3 linked regions of the Rhinolophus ferrumequinum genome follow. The main gene of each other region encodes a partner of the protein of the gene in region 2 in a complex. Links are inferred from orthologs where the notes say so. Each region holds a gene or a part of one and is shown on either strand. Other genes may lie near its edges.

Evidence for each region.
Region 1: CNOT6L (region 2) and CNOT9 share a complex: the UniProt entries of both Homo sapiens proteins name them as parts of the CCR4-NOT complex. The link is inferred for Rhinolophus ferrumequinum from reciprocal best matches to the Homo sapiens genes CNOT6L and CNOT9.
Region 3: CNOT6L (region 2) and CNOT11 share a complex: the UniProt entries of both Homo sapiens proteins name them as parts of the CCR4-NOT complex. The link is inferred for Rhinolophus ferrumequinum from reciprocal best matches to the Homo sapiens genes CNOT6L and CNOT11.

The regions. Positions count from the first base shown.
Region 1 is NC_046291.1:16,770,542-16,778,523, reverse strand, and holds the start of CNOT9 (CCR4-NOT transcription complex subunit 9), read left to right. Parts: upstream 1-4,954; 5' UTR 4,955-5,096; coding exon 5,097-5,120; intron 5,121-7,982. UniProt on the Homo sapiens protein: Component of the CCR4-NOT complex which is one of the major cellular mRNA deadenylases and is linked to various cellular processes including bulk mRNA degradation, miRNA-mediated repression, translational repression during translational initiation and general transcription regulation.
Region 2 is NC_046288.1:33,656,775-33,663,709, reverse strand, and holds the start of CNOT6L (CCR4-NOT transcription complex subunit 6-like), read left to right. Parts: upstream 1-3,838; 5' UTR 3,839-3,920; coding exon 3,921-3,925; intron 3,926-6,935. UniProt on the Homo sapiens protein: Has 3'-5' poly(A) exoribonuclease activity for synthetic poly(A) RNA substrate.
Region 3 is NC_046296.1:3,473,515-3,480,928, forward strand, and holds the start of CNOT11 (CCR4-NOT transcription complex subunit 11), read right to left. Parts: upstream 3,016-7,414; 5' UTR 2,940-3,015; coding exon 2,423-2,939; intron 1-2,422. UniProt on the Homo sapiens protein: Component of the CCR4-NOT complex which is one of the major cellular mRNA deadenylases and is linked to various cellular processes including bulk mRNA degradation, miRNA-mediated repression, translational repression during translational initiation and general transcription regulation.

The sequences.
Region 1 (7,982 bases), on a different chromosome or scaffold from region 2:
ATTCTTGTGCCAAAGGCAATGCACTCTTCTTTGGGAACTACTCATATTCTGCAGCTATGCCAGTTCTCCGGAAGCCATCAACTCAGCTAAAGAAAATATAAGCGTGCCTTTTTAAATGAATCCAATGTAAAAAATTAAAATTATTTTTAAATGTGATCATTTATACAACAAAGATTAACCTTTTGATTATTTAAAAACCATAAACCACCTTACTGAAAACACTTAAAATATAATGCTCAAGATACACACACACACACACACACACACACACACACACACACACACACGAGAGTGCAATAGAACTGTAGGGATAGTTCTACTTGCAAAATAAGGGATCCCAGGAGGAGCCGGCACTTCAATTTGTGTCTTGGTTTATTTATCCCTGCTACATTTTGAAACTAAGGCAGTGAAAAAGAGTGTATCTTTTGTTAACTTCAGAAACATTGTTTCATAATGATGTCTTACGTCTTAAAGATACCACTTCTATGATGTGCTGATACAATTTCAAAAGGTTAAGTAAACCTGGTTTTTACTTTTCTTTCAAAACTAACTTTATGGGTTTCTTTTTCAAATTTAGGCATCTCTAAGCCTCAACTTAAAGGCGGTTCTAACTCAAACATCTCTCATTGCCTTCATGAAAGCTGTAACATCAACTTTAAACTCGTTTATTCACTTAGTAAAAAATCATTTACTGAGCTACTCCAATTTGATAGCAGTCTAGTATGGATACAAATGTGAAAATTATACAGCCCATGCCTTCAAGAGGCTCCCCAGACTTCTCTCCACTTCTCCTTCCCCTTTCATTCAAGCAAAACATCCTAGCATCAGCTTTAACCTCTTCGCATTTATCTAAAACCCAGTCTTTTCATACTAGTTACTACCCTAATTCAGAAACACATCACTTTGCCATCACTCCAACCTAATATTTATTACGCAGCATTTACTAAGCACAGTGCTAAGCTCCATACATGCACTATCTCATTTAATTTTCACAATATCCTAAAGGATAGGGATTACTATTATCTCTCTGTTACAGATAAGGAAACCAAGGCTTGGAGAGATTACATAATTTACCTACGGTCAGAGTCAGTAAGAGACAACAGTCTACCACCAGAACCCACGTTTTTAACTACTACCATACTGCATCCTCATCAATGATTTGCAGCAACCACTTTCCAGTCTCCATTCCCTCAGGATTTTTTCATCCAATGAATCTTTACCCTTTCTAAAGAACTACTCTTTTTATCTCCTATCAAGGAGAATATACACTGCCTCCTTAACTTTCTCCCTAAAAGTGGGAGGGGGGGAGGACCTGTCCTACCTTCTTTTGTACTCCAACAAAATAACAGGCACTTAGTATGTGCTAAATACTTGCTATTGATGCTGATTCCTTCCCAAACATTTTTAAAATTTTATTTTATTGTGGTAAGAATATTAACATGAGATCTATCCTCTTAACAAATTTTTCAGTATACAACACAGCACTGTTAACTGCAGATACCATGTTGTACAGCATATTGCTAGACCTTATTCAACTTTTCAGCTTGCTTAATTGAAACTTTCTCCCAAACATTTTTAACAGCTCATCACTACCTACAAGATGAATCCAAATGCTTCTCTGTTCGGCATTCATACACTTCCTATGTTTTATTTTCTATTTCTCAACAAAAATCCTGTTCCACACACACAAATTATTAAATTTTAATATTTCCTTCCCATCTACCACCAACTTACTTAAATAGGATGTTTTCCTTTATTTTTGGAAACCTCCTTGCTGGTCTCATAGTTTAACCTGTTGTTTAAAAATATATAAACCACTGCTCTGATTTCTAAGGGCTTTCTTGCACAAAGATAAAATTAGTGTTGTGGCTGAAAGAGAGAAGTTGCCCTAGATAAAGTTTATCTCCAATTCAAAGAGTCTAAAATCTAAATGATTTTATGACATAAAAATGAAAATTCGTCCAAAGCTGGAAAACCCTTTGTTGTTTTTTTTGTATCCTTTGATTTGTCTGCAGACAGAAAAGGTGTTTGTCAACAGATGACAAGAATATCAGTAACCTTCCAAAAGACATGATGGCTACTCATTTAACCAATTCTTGAGAAACAGAAATTAAATAGTTACTAGCTTATATTCTAGTAAGAGACAGACTTTAAATAACCACACAAATAAACATATAATTACAAGTTCTGAAAGATGATATAAAGTGCAGGGCATGATGAGAGATTATAATAGGGTCCCTGATTTAAGACTTGGGGGTTAAAGGTTAGAGAGCACCTAGGGAAGGTTTCTCTGAGGAAGTACCATATAAGCTGAAACTTGAAGAAAGAGTTCACTGAAGGACAGTCATGCTGGAACCACCCAAGTAAACAGAACAAAATGTGCAAAGGCCCTGTGACAGAAAGTAACTTGGTGTGACTGAAGAAATGAAAAGCAGTGTGACTAGAGTTTAGTGAGAGAGAGGAGGATGGTGCAAGATGAAGCTAGTAAAGCAGGAAAGACTCAGGTTATGCAGAATCTTGTACAGCATAGTAATGATTTTGAATTTTACCCTCAATGTAATAAATACTTAGTGATTGGGAAATCCACAGAAGGGTTTTAAGCAGAGAAATGACATGTTACTGCTGAATAAAGAAGTGATTTCAATTTGGGGAGGAGAAAGGAGCAAGAATGGAAGAAAACAGGACAACCAGATACGAAAGTATTAAAGTGATTCAGCTTATAACAATTACAATAATAATGCTTACTGGCTGTTTACTATGTATCATGTTCTTACCACAGTTATCTCATTTAATCTTCATAAAAATTCAATAAGGTGATGATTATTCCCATTTTACAGATGAGAATACAGGGTACCTAGCAGTGACATTAAGTCCAAGTGAATGAGGATTGTGGCTTGGACTGGAAAAGTGATACGAAAGATATACAGAAATAGATTCAACACATATATTGGAAATAGAATAAATAGAACTTGAAGAGGGTACGGATACATGAAATGAGGGAGAAGTCAAGAATGGCTTTCAAGTGTCTAGCCTATGTAAGTGGATAAATGGATATGCCACTTAATGAAACGGGATACTGGAGAAAGAATTTGGATATGGAGAGAAAGATTAAGAATTTGGTTTTAGACATGTTATATTTGAAATCTCTAAGGAAAAAAATCAAGCTGAAATGTCAAGCAAATGGGGGCTAGTTATAATAGATCTTGAGCTTTTGGGAAGAGGCTGGAAATAAAAGTTCTTAAGTCATCAATATATAGGTAGAATTCAAAGCTTAGGGTGGAAAAGGAAGAGCAAAAAGAACAGGGCCTACGACTGAACCAAGATATTCCATGTTACTCCATTAAACCTCTCTCACCATGACCATCGATTACTTTGATTTCACTGGGCTTCTCAGTCCTCATTCATCTTTCAGCAAAATGCAACACTACTGATTACTTCTTCCATCTCTTTACCAGACTTGTATTCCTCTATCCAGTTATTAAACGTCAAGAACCCCTCAGTGAGCCATCCTAGATCCCCTTTTCCAGCGTTATACTCGCTTTAGGCAATTTCATCCACATCCATGGCTTTGATTACCATCAACGTGGCAGATGACATATATACATTTATCTATACTTCCAGCCCAGAACTCTCCTCTGAGCGTCAAACCAATATATCCAACTGCTAACTTGACATCCTCTCTTAGGTATCTCTTCCAGTTAGCTACTTGTCAGATACTGTCACCCCCCAAAAGGCATGTACAGAGCCAAAATTTTGAAAGAACTACCACAAAGCCACTACAGGCCAAGTCTCCAGAAAACAGGATTTTGTCATCAATTATCATTTCCTTTCATGGCTCATGCCCTAAAACAGGTGAAGCTGACAACCTGAACTGATGGCTAGAGATGGGGAGCAACCAAATGCACGACAAGAACACAATTCATGCGTTTTAGTGAGAGATGGTTAGGAGAGGAAAGAAGGTGAGGAACTGTCAAGAGAGTGAGAGAATCATGTCCAAGGCCTGTGGATGTGCGGCAACGTAGGTCCTCTTTTTAGAGACAGCAGGCCTCGCTAAGGGGCGAGTGGCGGACGCCGACAGCCCCCAGCGAAATGGGGGAGGTTCCGGCTGCGGAGGGGGCGAGTAACAGTCAAGACCAGGTCAAAGGAGAAGAAAAGCCTGAGGGAAGCCCCAAGTGCAGCACCGGTGAGGCCAGGGGAGCGTCGAGTGGATGGGGGCAGGCTGAGCAGCAGCGGGGCGAACTCCAGAAGAGTGAACGCCGAGTGGGCGGACCGGGGGTGGGGGGGAAGCCGCTGGGGAAAACCGCTCAGTTGAGAAGCTTTCTGGGCCCGCCTTACCTGTGCCTGCGAGTCCTGAGCCCGGGACAGGCCCGCCGGAAGCACGGAGTCCGCGCGGAGGGGGAAAAGTGGGGGGGAAGGAAGGAAGGGACACCCGGCACGGAGGAGAGGGACAGCTCACTCCCCCCGACTCAGGGAGAGCGGCTGATGGCGGGAACTGTGACCACACGCAAACACGCAACGCACGCACGCACACTCTACGCGACCGGACGGGGCGCGTGCGCGCAGGAATGCAAACTCCGCCCCTCCACGCCCTCGCCCCGCCCCAGCACTCGGCGAAGTCTCGCCAAGGCAGCCCCGCCCCATCTGACTACAGGACGCATGCGCATTTCTTACTCACTCATTTTCGACTTCCCACCATTTCCATCTTACTCAGCCCAGTCGGGCATGCGTACTACTTCTCCTTCGGGGACTGCCCTGCTTTTCCCGCCCTTCACTGGCCTCCGGAGGAGGGTCAGAGTTCACTCCCCTCTCTGGGGAGGCCTGCGGGGAATGCCAGGACTAATAGGAGGCGGACGTCCTTCAGGTCCTGAATCTTAAGCGACAAAGGACAGACTTTAGGACTAACTCCGTGGAGAGCTAGGAGGGGGGAAGAGGATTGTGGGCGGTGTCAGGGGTGAAAGGTCATAGGGCTGCGAAGGGGGCGGAGCGAGCCGGAGGCGGATGGCGGCTGCGGCAGCTCTTTGGCGGCAGAGTCGCTGAAGCTGGGACGTGGGTCGGGCGCGTCCGGCGGTGGCTGGAGAGCGGTGGCCGCTCCCAACATGCACAGCCTGGCGACGGCTGCGGTGAGTGGGTGCGCCGCCCAGCCTGGGCCCAGAACCCCTCCTCAGTCCTGCGTTTCGGCCTCCTCTCCTAGCTCCCTCTGTGGAGCCTGGAGTCCAACTTCTGCTCTCAACCCACGAGGCCCCGGCCCCCCCTCCTCGCCGCGCTTTGGTCGCGGTGAAGCCACCCCCTACTTTCCTCGCCCACCGGCACTTGTGGCCTCTCGCGCCGCATTTCGCGTTCTTTTCCGGCCTGGGGCCTGCGCGCGCCCGGAACGCCTCCCTCGCGGCCCGGACTGGCCATTCATTGATTCATTGCCCTGACCAACAGTTTCCGGGTGCCCGTTGCGTTCCGAGCGTCGGCGGGGATGAGGGTAATTCTGTGATCGATTTGACAAGGCCCCGGGCTCTCGGAACTGACTGCCTAGGCACATCGCAGCGGAAAGGAAATGGCTTCTAGTTAAAACCACTTGCTTTGCAGATGGAAAATCTGAGACCCAGAGAAGTGAATAATTATCGTGTCTGACTTACGGTTCTCTGCGCTTAAAACCTTTCCTCACACATCTCGTTTTATCAGTGTGGTCTTTTAACCAAAATGGATCGGGTAGTTCACCTGTCTAGTGTAATCCTATGGCTTCCCATTGCATTTAGATAAAATCCAGAGTCCTCGCTATGACAAGACTCTCGCTGGTTCTTACCCACGTTTACAGTCTTGTCTTATGTCACTTGCCCGGTAGGCTCCAGTTACACTGGACATCCCGTCTACCATCCCTTCTGGTGTGCTTTTCAACTCCAAAGTGCACTTTCTGATCTCTGTTCCTGGAATGCTCTTCCAACTTAAACACACACACACACACACACACCCCTCCCCCCAATGTGGGCATAGCTGGCTTCCCTCAGGTCTCTGCCAAATCTCCCTAGAGTGGGCGACCCTGACCGTCTTTTTTAAAGTACTGTAGTTCTGTAACCTCCAACTTTACTTTTCAAGTATCCTTTACAGCATTGATTACAATTTGTAATTTTTTTGTATTTATTTGCTTGTTGATTGTCTCCCTCTTGAGGACAGAGACAGGGATCATGTGGGTCTTGTTTACATAGTAACCCAGATCCAGGACAGTTCCTGGCATAAAGTAAGGGCTCAGGTACTTTGCTGAATGAGGGGTGCAGATGAAGGAGGTGGCTACTGAGAACACATAGCCACAGTGGGAAAATGGGATCATATGATTTGAGCACACTTTTGTAAATGCCCACCCCACTTTTTCTGTTTCACAGAGGTAAAGTGACTTAATGAGAGAATAATATACTTAAGTTGCATTAGTAGGCAAAATGATACAAATACGAAATAGAGAACCCAAAAAATTGCCTTTAAATATAAAAAGGAAGCTGTGTAATTAGGTTAGAGAAAACGTCATTTCCAGAGCCAGTGGCATCTCTGCCTCCTGTCACCATGTTTCTAAGTGTTTGTAACTAGTCAAAGTGGAGAAGTACCTTTTATATCTCTCAATTGGGTGTTTGCAATTTCCCCAACTTTTTTGTTTCTTCTCGCACATTACATGTATAATTTGGAAGAAGCAAGTCAGAAGATGAGGTTTCTGCTAGTAGGGAGGGACAAGGTAAATAAATTCTTCTAAGGTTGGCTTGTCCATCTCTCAAAATCTGATCGTGTGTTCGCCACACTTTGATGCCAAGCTGCTCTTTTCTCTGTGCCTCCCCAAACTCTATACCCATACCTATTCAATTTCTTTTATTTTCATTTGCTCCCTGTAATTCATCTTTTGAACAGCCATTAAAGCTGTGGTTCATTACTTATAAGTAAGTACTCAATACATGTTTCTTCAATTAGATTGACAATACATTTATTTAAAATTTGAACTTTTAGATATACTTTCATTTGTTGTGCTGCTTAGACCACACGAAAGCTCTGACAAGTTACTTTCTACCACTCATTCACTAGAATATTTGGTTAGTGAGGAGACTGAAGCGCATGCCTTCCATTAGACTAAACTGCCTGTTTTATTCTGATCTGGGTAAAGGGACAGTAATGGTGTTTGTCACTCTCTAGAAATTGAGAAAAGTTAATACATGCACCAGTGCCTGCAGTAATCTAAGCAACTTGATTATTACTTTTTGCCTAATGATGAAAATTTGTATCTGTGTGTACCTTTATCTTTTTTAAAATAACAGGTAATTCATCATTTCAGCTAGGGAGATAGTACTGTCAAAGGAGAATGTGATCACATGTGAATGCAGGATTTCATTCACAATAGGGAGGATTTGAGATAATTTGGGAAATATCTTAAATTTTGACTTGAGTAGTATTATACTGGAAATGTATGGTATGATAGACCTTTCATTCTTTACAGAATACATTCTAACGTCTTCATTATTGCCACCATAGAATGTAATTTCTCACATCTATTAAATAAGGACACAAATACACACAGGATTATTTAAAGATGAAATAATAACAGAGTGATCAGTGGTTGGCTAGGTTCACTCACTGGTTAAATGGCTTGCTCCTAGGTTCAGCTTTGGGACTCTAGTTCCTGCCTCAACAGAGTAACAAATCACTTTGTTATGGACCTTGGAGGTTGATTAATAGAATTATTATACATATCTTCACATACTGTGGGTCTTCTGTAATGAATGATATGCTAGTGATCTAAAACAACCAAAGGAAAGCCCTTATGAGATGCTCTGGGTATGCATTTTTAAAAATATTCCCCACTGATTCCCCAGTAGAATTTCTACTGGCAATTCTAACATCTTTAAACCCTTGTTTTTGCCTCGCTTTCCACCTAATGGGCACCGTCATTAGTTATTCTATATCTTTTTGTTGAAGTTGTGCTAGACTCCCAGAAGCCTTCCTCTTTGGCAAGTAAAAAG
Region 2 (6,935 bases):
ATCGAATTTAATTGATTCTTTATCAAATAGTAATATTCTTAAATAAAAAGTTTTAAATCTTTGCTTTTTGAGCAAGTTGCCCAACAGAATTTCAGAAAACAAAGGAACATAGTTATAAGGGATCTTACAGATCCAGGTACTGGTACTACCAACAGAAAAAAACATAGAGATCAGATTTACTCAGATCAAATATTAATTTCTAATTTGGAAAAGACACAGGTGATCTCTAAAACATTAAGCACTTTTTTTTTATTGAGAAGGAACGAACCTCTTCTATAATAATACAAATAAACAAGTGTTTCAGAACAAATTGTACCTTCACAGTGCTGCTATTAAACCAATTTAGTCAAAAAAGCCTTACTTAAGCAAGAAGTGTTGGATAAATCACTTCTTTAAAGAAATATTAGGTTGGTGCAAAAGTAATTGCGGTCTTTGCAATGATTTTTAACCTTTTAAACCGCAATTACTTTTGCACCAACCTAATATTTTATTAAGTTCTTTTTTTTCCCCCATTAGTTTCAGGTATACAAAGCAACATAATAACATTTAGGTGTTCTTAGATTTTATCTTAATTCAAAATTGTAATTTCTAACAAACATGAAAAATTCCTATGAAATATGAAAAGCAGGTTATTCTTCCATTGCAAACATTGATCTACTATAATACTGCTTTTAAAAATTGCTTAAGTGCTACTCTTTTTTGTTGGAATGTCTTTTCAGTTGGGGTCTTTGGAGAAAGGTTTTGTTTTTATATCAGTGAAGATTTAATTTCTCAGCATTTGTACAGTGCCAACTACTTGAAAAGTATTATTTCTTTAATCTCAATCTCATTGCAAATGAGAAAAACAACAATCTATTTTTGGATGATATAATACGTAAAAGTATTGCTTTCATTTTGCTTTTAGTGAGTCAATCCATTTGCTATATATGGCATAGAAAGCAACCCAGAGAGGAGAGATTATTTAAATTTAACCCGCATTCGACTGACCATTTTATAATAAAATCCAGTATTCTTAACTCTGAATGTCACAATTATAATTATTCAATGGATTGTGACGCATTTATTATTTAAAATTTAAAGGCCAACAGTGAACATCCCGGATATAAACCTGAGCTTCAGGACCAGCAAACCCCACTATTTATTAGTGCTTCTTTAACATCCACAAAGGCTCTCCTTCTTTCCACACCTCACTCTCTACTGCTAGTCAGCCTGTGAAAGTGGCAGGGATCACATGGCTCAAGTGAAAATGCCAGTGTCATCAGCCTTATCCTCCTCGGCATTGTTGTGACTATTAATTTTGTGTCACCTTTTATACTTTCATTTCTGGTTTGCCCTGTGAGAATTTCCTGTTTATGTGTCTGCTTCCCCTACAATGACTGTGAGCTACTTAAGAATACTACATATTCTTATCTTTGTCTCTGATGCTAAATACCATGTCTGGAACATAATTCACCCTCCACAGATGTTTGTTTGTTATATATGAATGAATAGCTAGGACTCTATATAGCTATAGGTATTTGAAGAAGCTTAAATCTGTGAGAATATCCCATCGTCTGATTTATATATTTAGGTGTTTATGTCCCTCTTTAACATTTGCTAGTATATCTCCTTGGGGAAGACTGTTTGTGTACCAAGGAGAAATGCTGTGGCAAGATGCCATTGAGGCAGGTTTACTATTCTGGGCTCCTGAAGTGACTTGTTCGCCTTTGTTGCTTACAAAGCCAAAGATAATTATTCATTATATGTCAGCTTAAACTCAAGATAGTTGGGAATGAGTGGGACTTCTTCCATGATTAAGGCCATTTTGACTCCCATTACAGAAGCTGGTATGGGGGTCGTGTTGCTAGGGAGAGAAATGGAAACAACACAGGTAGAAAAGAAGGTAGCCTGAAGTCTTCTAACTCCTCAGGGGCCTCACTCACTCACTCACTCACTCACTCACTCACTCACTCTTCCAGGTAACAAAGATGAAAGTGGTGCAATTGTTCTTCTGCAGTGGTAGGTAGGCTCCTCTAATAGTTGAACGATTCTGCATAAATGATTTGCATTTTTATCGCTATCTTTTCCCCTAGGAGAGGAAGGTATTTTGCATTCAATAATAGGGCCTAAGATTAATTGCAATCAACACAACGTGCTTAGTGTGCTAAACAACACCTCTGTGGGGGGTGGGGGGAGGAAATACTGAACACTGTTAATATACTCATGAACAACAATATTAAGTACACAAGCTCGGAGCATGCATTAAGGGATTGTGCAAAACTGCAACAGCAGTATTCTGTCTCCAGAGCTGGTATAATTTGTTTCTGGACTGCTGGTGGTAAAAGCTAAAGCTGACCCACAAAAACAAAATTAAACCCCAGAAACTTAAAATGTCAAATGTTCACCCAGTAAACATTAATACTTCTAGTTTACATTTTGATGTTTTCTTTCTGTAGCCAAACGTAATGCTATCGCGAGAAGGGAGAATTAGAAAATAAATAAGACGGGATAATCGCAGAGCGTCACAGTTTCTTTTATTTACCTTTCGCGATACAACCTATAGATGTTACATGTTATTAAAAAAAAAACACACAACCCACTGAACATGTCAGAAAACATTCCTTCGGTCACTTAACCTCACCTGGCGTCTCATTAGCCACCCAGACCAGTGCTCGGCTTCGCTGTCAGGCCGCCTCTGGCAAAGGTGGGGTAAACAGCGCCGAGTCCACGCACAAACACGGGATGAGGTGGGTTCGCCAATCTCTTTCCCGCCATGGATTTGTGGATGTGGTTTTTTAATACTCCACTAGTTTTCCCAGCGCTGCTCCACATTCAAGCCATGAAAAGAGAGTAGGAGGACAGCAACAGTAGGAGAAAATAGGAAAGACCACTGGCCGCCGCGCGCGCACGCGCAGCACTACCAAACACGGCGCCCAGGGGGCGGGGTCAAGGCGCGGCGCTGAAGCTCCGCCTTCTTCCCCTCACCCCACCCCTCGGCGCTGGGGAGTGACTGACTCCCGCCAGCCCCTCAACGTCAATCACCCTTCTTCTCGCACTCTCGGCACCTTGTTATTAATCTCTATACCGATATCGCCCGGAGGCCTCTCCCCCGGCCTTCGGGGGTGTGAACGTGTGTGAGCCAGAGCGAAGGCACCGAAAGCTGGCGTTTCTGTGTACCAGTCTCGGCCCCAGCAGCAGCAGGCGCAGCAGCAACCCCCGCAGCGGCGGCAGCTCCAGCGCCAGGAGGCCAAGGCCAAGGCCAGGCTCTGCGCGGCTCTCGGAAAGGTAGCCGCAGCTTCGGCGGCTGCGGGGGCGCAGCTTCCTCCGGCGGGGGCCTTCGCGTCGGCGACTGCGGCCGCGGGGCCTCTCCTGCGCTCCCAGGGTCACCGTCCCCGAAGCCCGGCAGCGCGGCCCTCGTCCCCCTCCCTGCCCCCGGTCCGTCTCCTATCTCCCTTCAGCCGCCCTCCTCACCGCCGCCTCTGCGGTTCCTCAGGCGGCCCGGCCCGGCCCGCCCGCCCCGCGTCCCCTCCGGCCGGTGCCTCTCCCCCCGGCGGGCTGCCTGCATGTCTTTGCTGCCCTCAGCCCCGCCGCCACCGCCGCCACCGCCTCCCCCGCCGCCGCAGCTCCAGCACCAGCCGCCCCGCCGCCGCCGCCGCCGTCGCCGCCCGGACCCCGGCGCGCTGAATGCAGGTGAGGAGGGGGCGCAGGCCCTTCGGGACCCCAGGCCCTGGTGCCCGGCGCGCGCGCCGCCCGCGAGTCGGCTTCCTTTCGGGGCGGGCGGGAGCGAGGCCAGCCCGTGGGTGTTTGTGTTTGTGTCTGCGGCCGCGGCTCCGGAGGGGAAGCATCTGTGGGGGCCTGGTGCGCGCGGGCGCGCGTGTTTGTGTGTTTCCCCTGCCGCGGGGAAATGGCTGCTGTTGCTCCTCCTGAGCTAGAGGAAGAGAATGAGGTAGAGTGTTTTTGTGCCTCTGAGTAGGATCAAGAGTGTGGGGGAAAGGAGCGCGTCCCCGGGGAAATGAGATTGGAAAAAGACGAATGTGCGTGTGGGTTGCGAGTTGGGAGTTTGGCGGGCGGGGAGGCGGCCCTGAGGACCCACAGCGAGTGGGTGTGTGTCGGGTGAGGGACTGACCCGTGTCTGTCAGAGGTGCCGAAGGTTCCGGGAGTGTGTGTGTGTGCGCGGGCGGGGGGGTCTGCGCCCAGGGCCCGGGACTTTGGGGGCGGGATCCGTGTGTCCGGGACCCCCAAGTGGCGTGTTCCTCCCCCTTTGTGGTTGAGGCTCCGAAGCCTCGCAGGTGAGAGCTACTCCGCGGGGGTCGGGCGGGGAAGGTGAGTGTGTGCGCGGTACACGTACAGCAGCCGGGCCCGGAGAGCTGCGGGGCCGGGTGCGCCGCCGTTCTCCGGGCCGCGGCAGGAAGCGCGCCGGCCTGCGGCGAGGCCTAACCGCCTCCGCGCCAGCCCGTCCGCCTGCCTCCCACCGGCCTCCCGGGACGCCGCTTGAGACTCGCGGGCCCTGGGTGCTTGTCTTGGGCCTAGGCAGGTGAGGGTCGGAGGCGGGACGTGCCAATTGCAGCCGCCCCCGCGTCTCCTGAGAGGCGAAGGCATATTTTGGCGTTGTAACTGCAAGCCCTCCCCCTGGCAGGCTGTGGGACCCAAGGGAAAGTGAATCAAAGCAGTGAATCTGGGGAATACGCGTTGTCGAGATCCCTTCTTTTTATATGTTTCTTAAGGCTCTGGGAAGGACTAAATATTTTCATTGCAAATACTTTATGGGTGGTAAGATGTATGCTTTTTTTTTTTAAGGTAAAAATTTTCTTTGAGGAGCAGAGGAGGAAATGGAAGCTGGCTTCTCTGTCTTGTGGTGTTGGTGGGATTGGATCGATTTTGTGCATTTGAAATTGTTTTATCCTGCCTCCTAGGGGGAAAGGCGTGTACTCGCGGAGCTGAGGAGGTCAGTGAGGAAGAGGAAGTTACTGGAGCTGTCATCCTCCTTAACTCTGCCGAGTGTTTAGGCTGTTTAGATGGATTTGTGTTCTGGCAGTTTAGCTGAGCTTTTCACACATTGGAAGCACAGTACTACATTTTAGGAAATACTACCTTATTGCGTCCAGTTATCTTAGTCGTCGCTCAAAATAGTTGTGCACAAACACGTTTTTTCTTACAGTCTCCAAAACTTAGATCAAGCAACATCTATTGTCTACTCAGCGTGTGCTCCTGGAAAGCTATTTTGAGAGTAGTCTAAGTAAAAGGCAACCATAAAGAGAAATTTGCCAATAGGTGTACAGTGCATTTCAGCATTAAGTATAAATGTCATTTGGATAATTATTTGTTAATTAACTTTATCTACTCCACCCTCTTTCCATTTGCATCTAGTTAGCTCATGCAGCTAAAACCCTACGGGTAAAGTCATATAGATTCCTTCCTTAAAGGCCATGCTCTGTATAATGGCCAGAGATTGGTCCTTTTCTGAACCTGGTCTCACAAAGAAATGTTCCATGCTGTTCACTGAGAAGTGGGGGTAAGAACAGGAGAGGTGGAGAGCTGTTTTGTGTGACCACTACTGGAAAAACAACACATAGTTCAGTGGAACAAGGACTTGTTTTACAGACCTCAGAACTCAGGCTGTGCCATTTTTATTAGCTGTTTGACCTTAGGCAAGGCACCTAATATCTATATCTCTGTTTTCTCATCTGCAACAAGGAGATAATGCATTTATAGTATGATTGTCTGAGGATAGAATGAGAAAACATATGTTTGGCACATAGTAGATGCTTAGTTAAGTAGTTCCTCCTCCTGCATTCCTGGACATTGAAAACGTTTATAAGTACAAATAATCATTTAATTACTGAGCAATATTATGTAACTAAGTTAAAAATCAAGACAACAGAACATTTGAGAGTCCTTTGATATATATAAGGTATATATAAACAACTTTCAATGTTGTATTTTAGAATTTTTTTTCTAGAAATGAGACTCATTGAAATACTTAGTGTAGTTTATAGGTAGAGACTACACAGCCATGCTTAATATTTTTTCGTATTTTTCAGTGGACCATATCTCAGTTTCATTACACTTTTTATGAGTTCTTGCTGTGTAGCTCTGGAAAAAAATTATTAAGCTATGTGTAGCATATACATGTTCCAATACAATCAAGCATTAAAAAGGTTCAAAAGACTAGAGTTTACTTTATATAGGTCCACAAAGTATAAGTGATACAAAAATTGGTATGTAATTCTTTTAGCTTATGTTGATTGATTCTGGTAAACAAAATCTGTTGGAATATTTTCCTGAATGGAAGCAAAAATTGTCTATCGACTTTCAATAATTTTCCATTTTTTTTTTATTCTGCGTGGAGTAGTAAATGTTCTGTTCATTTAATTTTAACTGTGATGGAAAAAATAATGGTGTGGAGTTTAAGGCAAAGGCAACAGAAGTTAAATGATTTCTTCTTTTACTTTCTCTCTCTCTCTCTCTAAAATTTTTTTATTTTTATTGGTGAAGGCAGAGTGAAGAGAAGATAGGAGAAGTTTCATTGGCTTAAGTTTGTATGACAGTTTGTTTACTAATGCCAAGTTTCCCAGTTAGATCTTAATATCATTATTTTTATCAGCAGTGTTAAGCTTTAAATAAATAACTAAATAACTAAATAAAGCCTAGTAGTAAAGCAATAAAATTTCAACAAATTTGTGAAGAATTTTTGTGAAGGATAGTAGGGACAACTTTATTAGAATGCAAAATATCACGGTTTTGTTAAAGTGTGTTATAGGTAATGCATCATTTACAACAAACAGAATTATCTGTCATATAGTTATATTTAAAGGAAGAATTATTACCTTAAAAATTATAAATGATAATTTTTGATTCTTTAGAAACAATTGAATAGAATTTTGCCCTTAACTAGGTATTCGGCAATTTTCACTAGACATTATGAATTATAGTATTTAAAACACTTCATACCATTT
Region 3 (7,414 bases), on a different chromosome or scaffold from region 2:
CAGTATCAATGAAAACAAGGTTTTTGTAACTATTAAGAACTTTGTTTTTCACATGCCTCAATCCCTGCAAAGGCTAAAGCTTACATATGCAAGCAAAAACAAGTAAGAGAACTCCAGCACTTAGGAATGCTTTTTTTTCTTCTCTGCTGCTGCAGCCACTGCAGAGGTTGAAAAGAAGGAAGCAATCACCAATAACGCAAATACACTTCACACACCTGCTTCAATACAGTGACTGGTTCCTTTGGCCCCGTATTAACTGTTCACCATCCATCCTCCTGCAGCGTCACCAGACTCCGGTGACTCCGTTCCCTCCTCGCCATTCCCTCTCCCTCCTCTCTTGCCTGGACTATAGGACAGCCTTCCTGGTTTCCAAAGCAACCCCTTTTGACTCCTGACCCACCTACAGTCCACACCCCCACTTACCATTCTGCTATATTTCTAGGCACAAAACTGCTCACGTTACTTAACCTGTTTACACAGAATTAAACCCAAACTTCTGCACCATTTGAAAACCCTTCGTAACCTGCTCTGACCCCCTTTCCCGATCTCATCTCTTGAATTCCCCTCCAATGCCTGTATCCTACACTCCAGCTGCACAAAATCAGCTTCTCTGATTCTGGATTTCAAAACATCCAACAGAGCAAGTTCTTTGAAGAATACCTGGCAGGGCCACCCCTTTTCCTCCCCGCCACCATCTCTAACAGTTACACACTGGAGTTTGCTCTGTGCTACTGAGCATTTGGTATGTGACATGTAGTACAGCCCTTACCACACTGTGTTATGACTATGTTTATGTCTCCCCAACCAGCCTACACGCTTCTTGGGCACAGGGAAGCCTTCTGATTTACTTCCAGATACATTCTCAACCCTGGCTCTGCATGAGAATCATCTGAAAAACTTTTAAAAATACACTCCTTAGACACTCTAGGTGTACAATGTCATGAGCTTTGGCACCGATATTCCATTTATTTTTAAGCACCATCCCTACCTGCTTTAATGAAAGTAATGATGATAATGGGTAATACTTATTGTGACTACTTTTATTCCTAATAACTCTACCAGCAAGGAATTACCGGCATTTTACAGACGTAGAAACTGAGGCATAGAGAGGTGAAATAAGCCATCCATGGATTCCTTCCCTGGCCCATTTGTTTACAACGCAGTCTACAGTCTAGATCTAGGTTTCGACTCATTGCATTTGAGAACGACAGTATATAAATCATGGTTCTTTTGTCTAGCTCATGCAAAGAATTCAAAGGGCCCTGTGACCTAAATCCGTCAGTGTCCCCATCCTCTATGGGCTCCGTATGGAGGTGGGTTTTGACCACTCATACACATATTGCATTCACTTTCTGAGTATTCTCAAACTTCAGGACTGTACCCTAGGGGCATCTCACCCAACAAAAAAGTTGCCCCTCGTGGATAAGGGCAGTGCAGGAAACAAACCAGAAGACGCTCTAGATCCAGAGGGATGTCAGGCAGGACGACAGACTAGCTTAAAATGTAAAAGCCCTCCTGCACCATGAAAAACTGCATGGTATTAGCTCAAAATCTGCTGTCTTAGCCTTTTGACTCCTTGTAAAGCAGCCCTGCCTATAGAGTGATTTGCCCTTTACCCACGGGTGAAGGACACCAGGTTAAGGACTGGAAGATCAAGCTGTTTCCCACCTCTAACTACCTGGGCGTCCCCCATGACACTGGTCCTTCTCTAAGTCTTCCAGGTACCGTTATACTTGTCACCATCCCCTCTGTGCCTTTCTCCTCTCCTGGCTGCAAGTCTTCTCCCAAAGTCAAGTCTCATAAAGCATCTCTTGAGTTAAAAATAAAATTAAATAAGAGGCAGCCTCGCATGGGGCCACTGATCTGATCTTACCAATGTTGCACACAGTTCACATAATGCGTTTTCTGACCTCGGCGGTGAATTTGAAACTATCTATCCTCTGCTCCCATCACATTATCCAAGGGCACCTAACAGTCCAACAAAGATGGCTGCAAAGTCCTTAAAAGCTGTTTAATGTGTTTCCACCCAAAACTTCGGGTTCTGAACAATGGCCTCTACTTACTCGTCTGAAAGTTAAAGCCAGGGACAGATCGGTGGGTCACTAGTTACAATTTCACACCCCTCAGACAAGCTTTACAAGAACGAACTGTATTTAAGGTACTAAAAATGTCAAGCCCCCCACTGCGCTGCATAATTTGAACGGCCTGTACTACTGAGAAAAATCATCTTCGATGCCATGAACTTGTAATTAAGCTACCACTTCTCCATACTTTAAAGGTGGGGGAGGCAGAGATAATTTCAAAAGGAGAGCTCATTTCACTTTCGGGGCAATTTCCGACAGCGCAGGTGGAAAACCGACGAACCTAACTATCCACAACGCACACCGGGCTCCGGGAGCGAAGGGCCGGCCGCGGCGCTTACCCGAGAGCGGTGGCCGGTCCGGCTCCTGGCCGCCGCGGGCGGGCGGCGCGGGGTTGAGCAGGTGCGCGAAGCTGGCGGCGAAGGGGTTGGCGGCCAGCGGCTCGGTGCGGTACATCTCCCACAGCAGGTAGAGCGCCGTGAGGCGCTGCGCCGCGCTGGGCAGCAGGTCCGGCTGCTGCAGGAGCATCACGAGCACAGAGCCCAGGCGGAAGTGGTCAGCCTTGCTGAAGTAGTGGTGGAAGGCGGTGGACAGGCCCTCGAAGGTGGTGCCGCCGCCCGCCTCCTCCGAGATGATGCTCAGCAGGCTCGAGAGCTCCTTCGGGGTCAGGCTCATCCTGCCCGCAGGGCCCCCCGGGCCTCCACTGCCCGGCCCGGGGCCTCCTGCTCCGCCTCTGCCGCCGCTGCCGGAGACCCCCGGGCCGCTCCTGGACGCCGCCCCCACCGCTTCTCGGGCCCCTCTTTGCTCCGCAGCGGTCAGAAGCCGGCCAGACGCCGCGCTCGCCCCGCCGCCGGGCATCAACCTCTCTCGCCTGTCCCGCTTCCCGGCCGGAGTGGCCCTAACGCCGGCTCGCTCCGTCCCGCGGCCGTAAAGCGCGCTGTTACACGACAGCGTCGCAAACCAAACTCGTCGGGGAAGCCAGGGCGTCGCAAAGGGCTGGGCAGCGCGGAGCGAAAGCGAGGCTGGTGGAGCGAAGCCAAGGAGAGGATCCGGAGATGGGGTGGGCGGGGTCAAGAGGCCGGAAGTGGGGGCGGGCCTGCACGGTTCCGCTCAAAAACTGCGGGGGTCTACGTGTTGAGGAGTGAGTTCCCGGCGGAGTTCCGGGCACCAGGTGGTCCCACTAGCTGGGGGCTACATTGTTTGGAAAAGTGCGTCTTAGATTGTAAATGGTTTTCTTAATATGACATACATGACTCTTGGTGGTAAAAAAAAAAAAGTTAAGTGCAAGTCACTAACACATTACTCATAATCAAAGTTAATTTCCAGTTTTACACTCCTTTTTGCAGAAATGGAATCATATTGCACAGGAGCGTTTGTACATCGTATTTTAACAAGATTTAGGAGGAATGTTTCCAGTAAATATTTACAAAATTGTGCAACTTTTTACATAGTTTGCCCTAGGACGCTGATTCTGGGCCTTGGCTGCTTGTTGGAAGCCCCAGGGCGTCTAAAAATGCTAGTGCCTGGTCCCACCCCCAGAGATGTTGACTCAGGTATTACAAAACAAAAACCAATCACCTCCCCAGGTGACTAGCATGCACTCTGGTCTGAGAACCACCTTGTTTCCCAGACTTGCCCAGCTTCTCCCTGGATCCACAGAAACCTACAGGCACATTTCACCATTAGTTCCCACCAGGTGAGTTTGGGAAATCCAGTGTGCACTAAACAGTGCTAGCAGTTTAAGAATTATTAAATTAAGCACCAACTTAATTGTAAAGTAAAATTGAAGGGAGAGAAATTGCTGCGTGACCACCAGCATATTCTAAAGGCTTCTTTAATTTACTGCTAGATTACCCTCTAGAAAGTTCCTGCCAATTGACATTCTTAATAGCAACTGTTAAAAAACAAAATTTAAATCTGAAGATCTAATTGGTTTCATTGAGCAGATTCATGAACCAGGCAGCATCCCATCTAGTAGTAAATAACAGAGAAGTGCTCCAAGGGGCTGTACAAAATTGAAGGTTTTTATAGGAAACTGAGTGGGACAAGAAAGTTATTAGCAAAAGAAAACAAAGATTGTTTCAGGCAAGGTCATCTATCTTTGGAGGAAGGCTGACAGGGTTCTTATCAGACAGATTACCTCACAAGTGTTGATCAGGAAATTCCAGACTGATTGGTTTATGATCACATTCCTGAGCCTACATATGTAAGTTTAACTTTTTTTTTTAAGATGTTTCAAAATATTGAAACATTATAATAACCCGCCTCTACCCCCAGAACTTGTGAAAGAGAAAACCACATGCCAAAATGGCATCACTCATGCTAAAAGCCCATGATACCAAACCTTGATTTAATACCTGACCTAATTGCTGTTTCAACCTCTCTCAGAAATGTAATCTTAATCAACCAGTCTGGAATTTTCTGGTCAAGCACCAGCAAGGTAATCTTTCCCTCAGTCATCTCCATTCCCCCATAGAAAGAAGAGGCAATCAGCATGATAAAAACTCTTTCTCATTCTCTTTCCCCTCAAAAAATGGCCCAGCCCCAAAACAATCCTTTTTTTCCTTCTATCAATAGCTCCCTTGGCCTACCATTCCTGTAAAAGCCTTCCATTTTGCACATTCCCTCTGAGTGGCCTTCTAGTGGATAGATGGGATGTTGCCCGATTCATGAATTGCTTAATAAAGCCAATTAGATCTTCAAATGTACTTGACGTTTGCTTTTTAACAAACTGCTTTTCTTTAGGAACACTTTCAAAATTAAGATGATAGCCAGAGCTTCCTACATATTCCCTGAAAACAACTCTCAGGCCCTGAATTAGTTTCCTGGTAACCACAAGCTGGGTGGCTTAACCCAATGGAAATGTGTTCTCTCACAGCTCTGGAGGCTAAAAGTCCAAAATGAAGGGGTCAGGAGAGCCATGCTCCTTCTAAAGGCTCTAGGGAAGAATTCCCGCTTGTCTCTTCCCAGCTTCTGGTGGTTGTCAGCAGTCTCTGGTGTCCCTGGTCTTATGGCTGCACCATTCCAACCTCTGCCTCTGAGGTCACTTAGCCTTCTTCCTCGTGTGTGTGTTTCATATGACCTTCTTATGAGGAAACCAGTCATTGGATGTACGGCCCACCCTAATCCAGTATGACCTCATCTTTACTAATTATATCTACCAAGACCCCATTTCCAAATAAGGTCACATGCTGAACTTCCAGGTGGATATGAATTTTGAGTGACACTATTCACCCCAGTAGAGGCCCTAAGTTCTCCTGAGCATATGGCTTGGTAGTTCTTCTTCACATCCAACTCATTTCTACCTTTATATTTGTTAACCTAAAAATAAAAGGCCCAAGTGAGAGACAGCAAACATTTATTTGAGACCAAAAGAATAGCAATTTGGGAAACACTGATGCAGACAGAACCCCAAATAGTGTTCCTATCAGGAGATTTGGAGGCAAAGGCATGGGGTGTTTATGAGAAACGGACAGGACAGGCACATCAATAGAAGGAAGGCATTTCTATTGGTGAAGGTAACCAAACAACAGAGTGATGTTCATTCTAAACAATGTTTATAATTTTCAGTCCAGTTGTTATCAGTCATAATATCTGCTTTCTTGTTCTCTCTCCAAATTCTTCTTTGGTCTTGTCTACTCCACTGGCTGGGGACCCTGACTTGAGTTTGCCAGATCCTTTAGGGTTTGGAGCTCAGTTATGGCTGCCTGTAGAGTTGGTCAGTGTGGGGACAGAGCCCCAGAGAGCAGTTTCCAGGCTCTCGGCCTCATGCGGAAAGGTGCTGGCTCAGGTAGTAGATGGCCGTCAGCTGTGGCTGGTTGGCCGTCGGCTGTAACCATTGAGCCATTGGCCACTAATATAACTGCCGTGGCTGCGTTGGGGAGTCGAGGAGAGTGGAGGGAGGTCAGAGAGTCGGTCGGTTGGCAGAAAAGCGGACAGCAGGTCGCAGGTCGTGTGAATCCAGCCTCCAGTGAGACTATAATGGTATGACTCCCCTTCCTATGGCTCCGTGGGTGTTCCTTTTTGGCCTCACCATGTCCTGCATTCTTCTTGTGTGGGGAGCGGGAGCTGAGACCCCGCCTGTCACCCCGCGTGACAGTCAGTTTTCCCCAGCTGGCTCCAGGACTGGCAGGTCAGAGCTTATTGTAGTTCTGTGGTCTAGAGCTATCAATATGACCCAAGATGAGGGTGGGACTGCTTAGGACACTGAACACGTAAAGGTAAGACATCTTTGGCCTAATTTTTAAATTAATACTAGAAAGAATGTCAGTATTTCAGAGATCTTTGTACTACGTGGATGAGGTGCCTTGAGAATTCAACTTTTACTGATGAGGTTAGCAGATTAGATCTAATGATATAGCAAGGGTCCCAAATCATTTGATTTCATTGTAACTGTTGGTCAGTCCTGAAGATGGAGCTCATTGTTGGCATTGGCAGGCTCAACATGTCCATGGCATACACAGCCATGTCAGTCACTTTTTTTCTCAGATCTAAGCTTTTTTGATGCTCTCACGTTTCCTCCTTTTCTTCCAACGATCAGCCTCTGAAGGGGTAGACAGCAAAAATCCAGAGATCAAAGCATGCACAGGCATCCTGGCCACCGTTGTACCATGCACGTATGTGACATTTTGCCTCCAGTCATGCTGGTCATAGTAGACAGCGCAATGCCAAGATAACTTTAGATCACACATACCAAATTGAGTACATCTAGGACATAGCAAGACTCATCAGCTTCTCCTCTGAATATTGAGTTGGCTTTTGCAGAAAGCAAGTCACACATTTATTATAATAAATAATAACCCCCACCCCGAGTTTCCTTTCCTGGGTAACAGAGAAAATCCACAGGAAAGCGTCCCCCTGCCTCATCTGATCTATCCTGAGAAAGAGGGGAGTTTTCTTTTCTTTTTTCTTTTCTTTCTTTTTTTTTAAAGAATTAATCTTTCTTTGTGGATTGTTTTAGCATATTTATTATAGGGCCTGTAATTTAGGAAAACCTCTAATCTTAGTCTCTAAATGGCTGGTGGGGCTTTCAGAAAAATAATTTGGTAATATGCACTAAGAGTCTGAAAAATATTGATATCCTTTTGTCTAAATAATTCTATTTCTGAAAGGCTATCTTAAAGAAATAAGAATCAGGAAAGCCCTTTTGGACGAGATAGTCACAGCATTTATTGTCATCAGCAACACCTAAATGTCCAACAATAGGGAATAACTACAGCAAATCTACCAGCAGGAATATTGTAAATGTTGTTTACACAGTTTAAACATGTAAATGTTGTTTACACAGTAAATCCATCTGTGGAGTACTACTCAGCAAATAAAAATGAATGGAC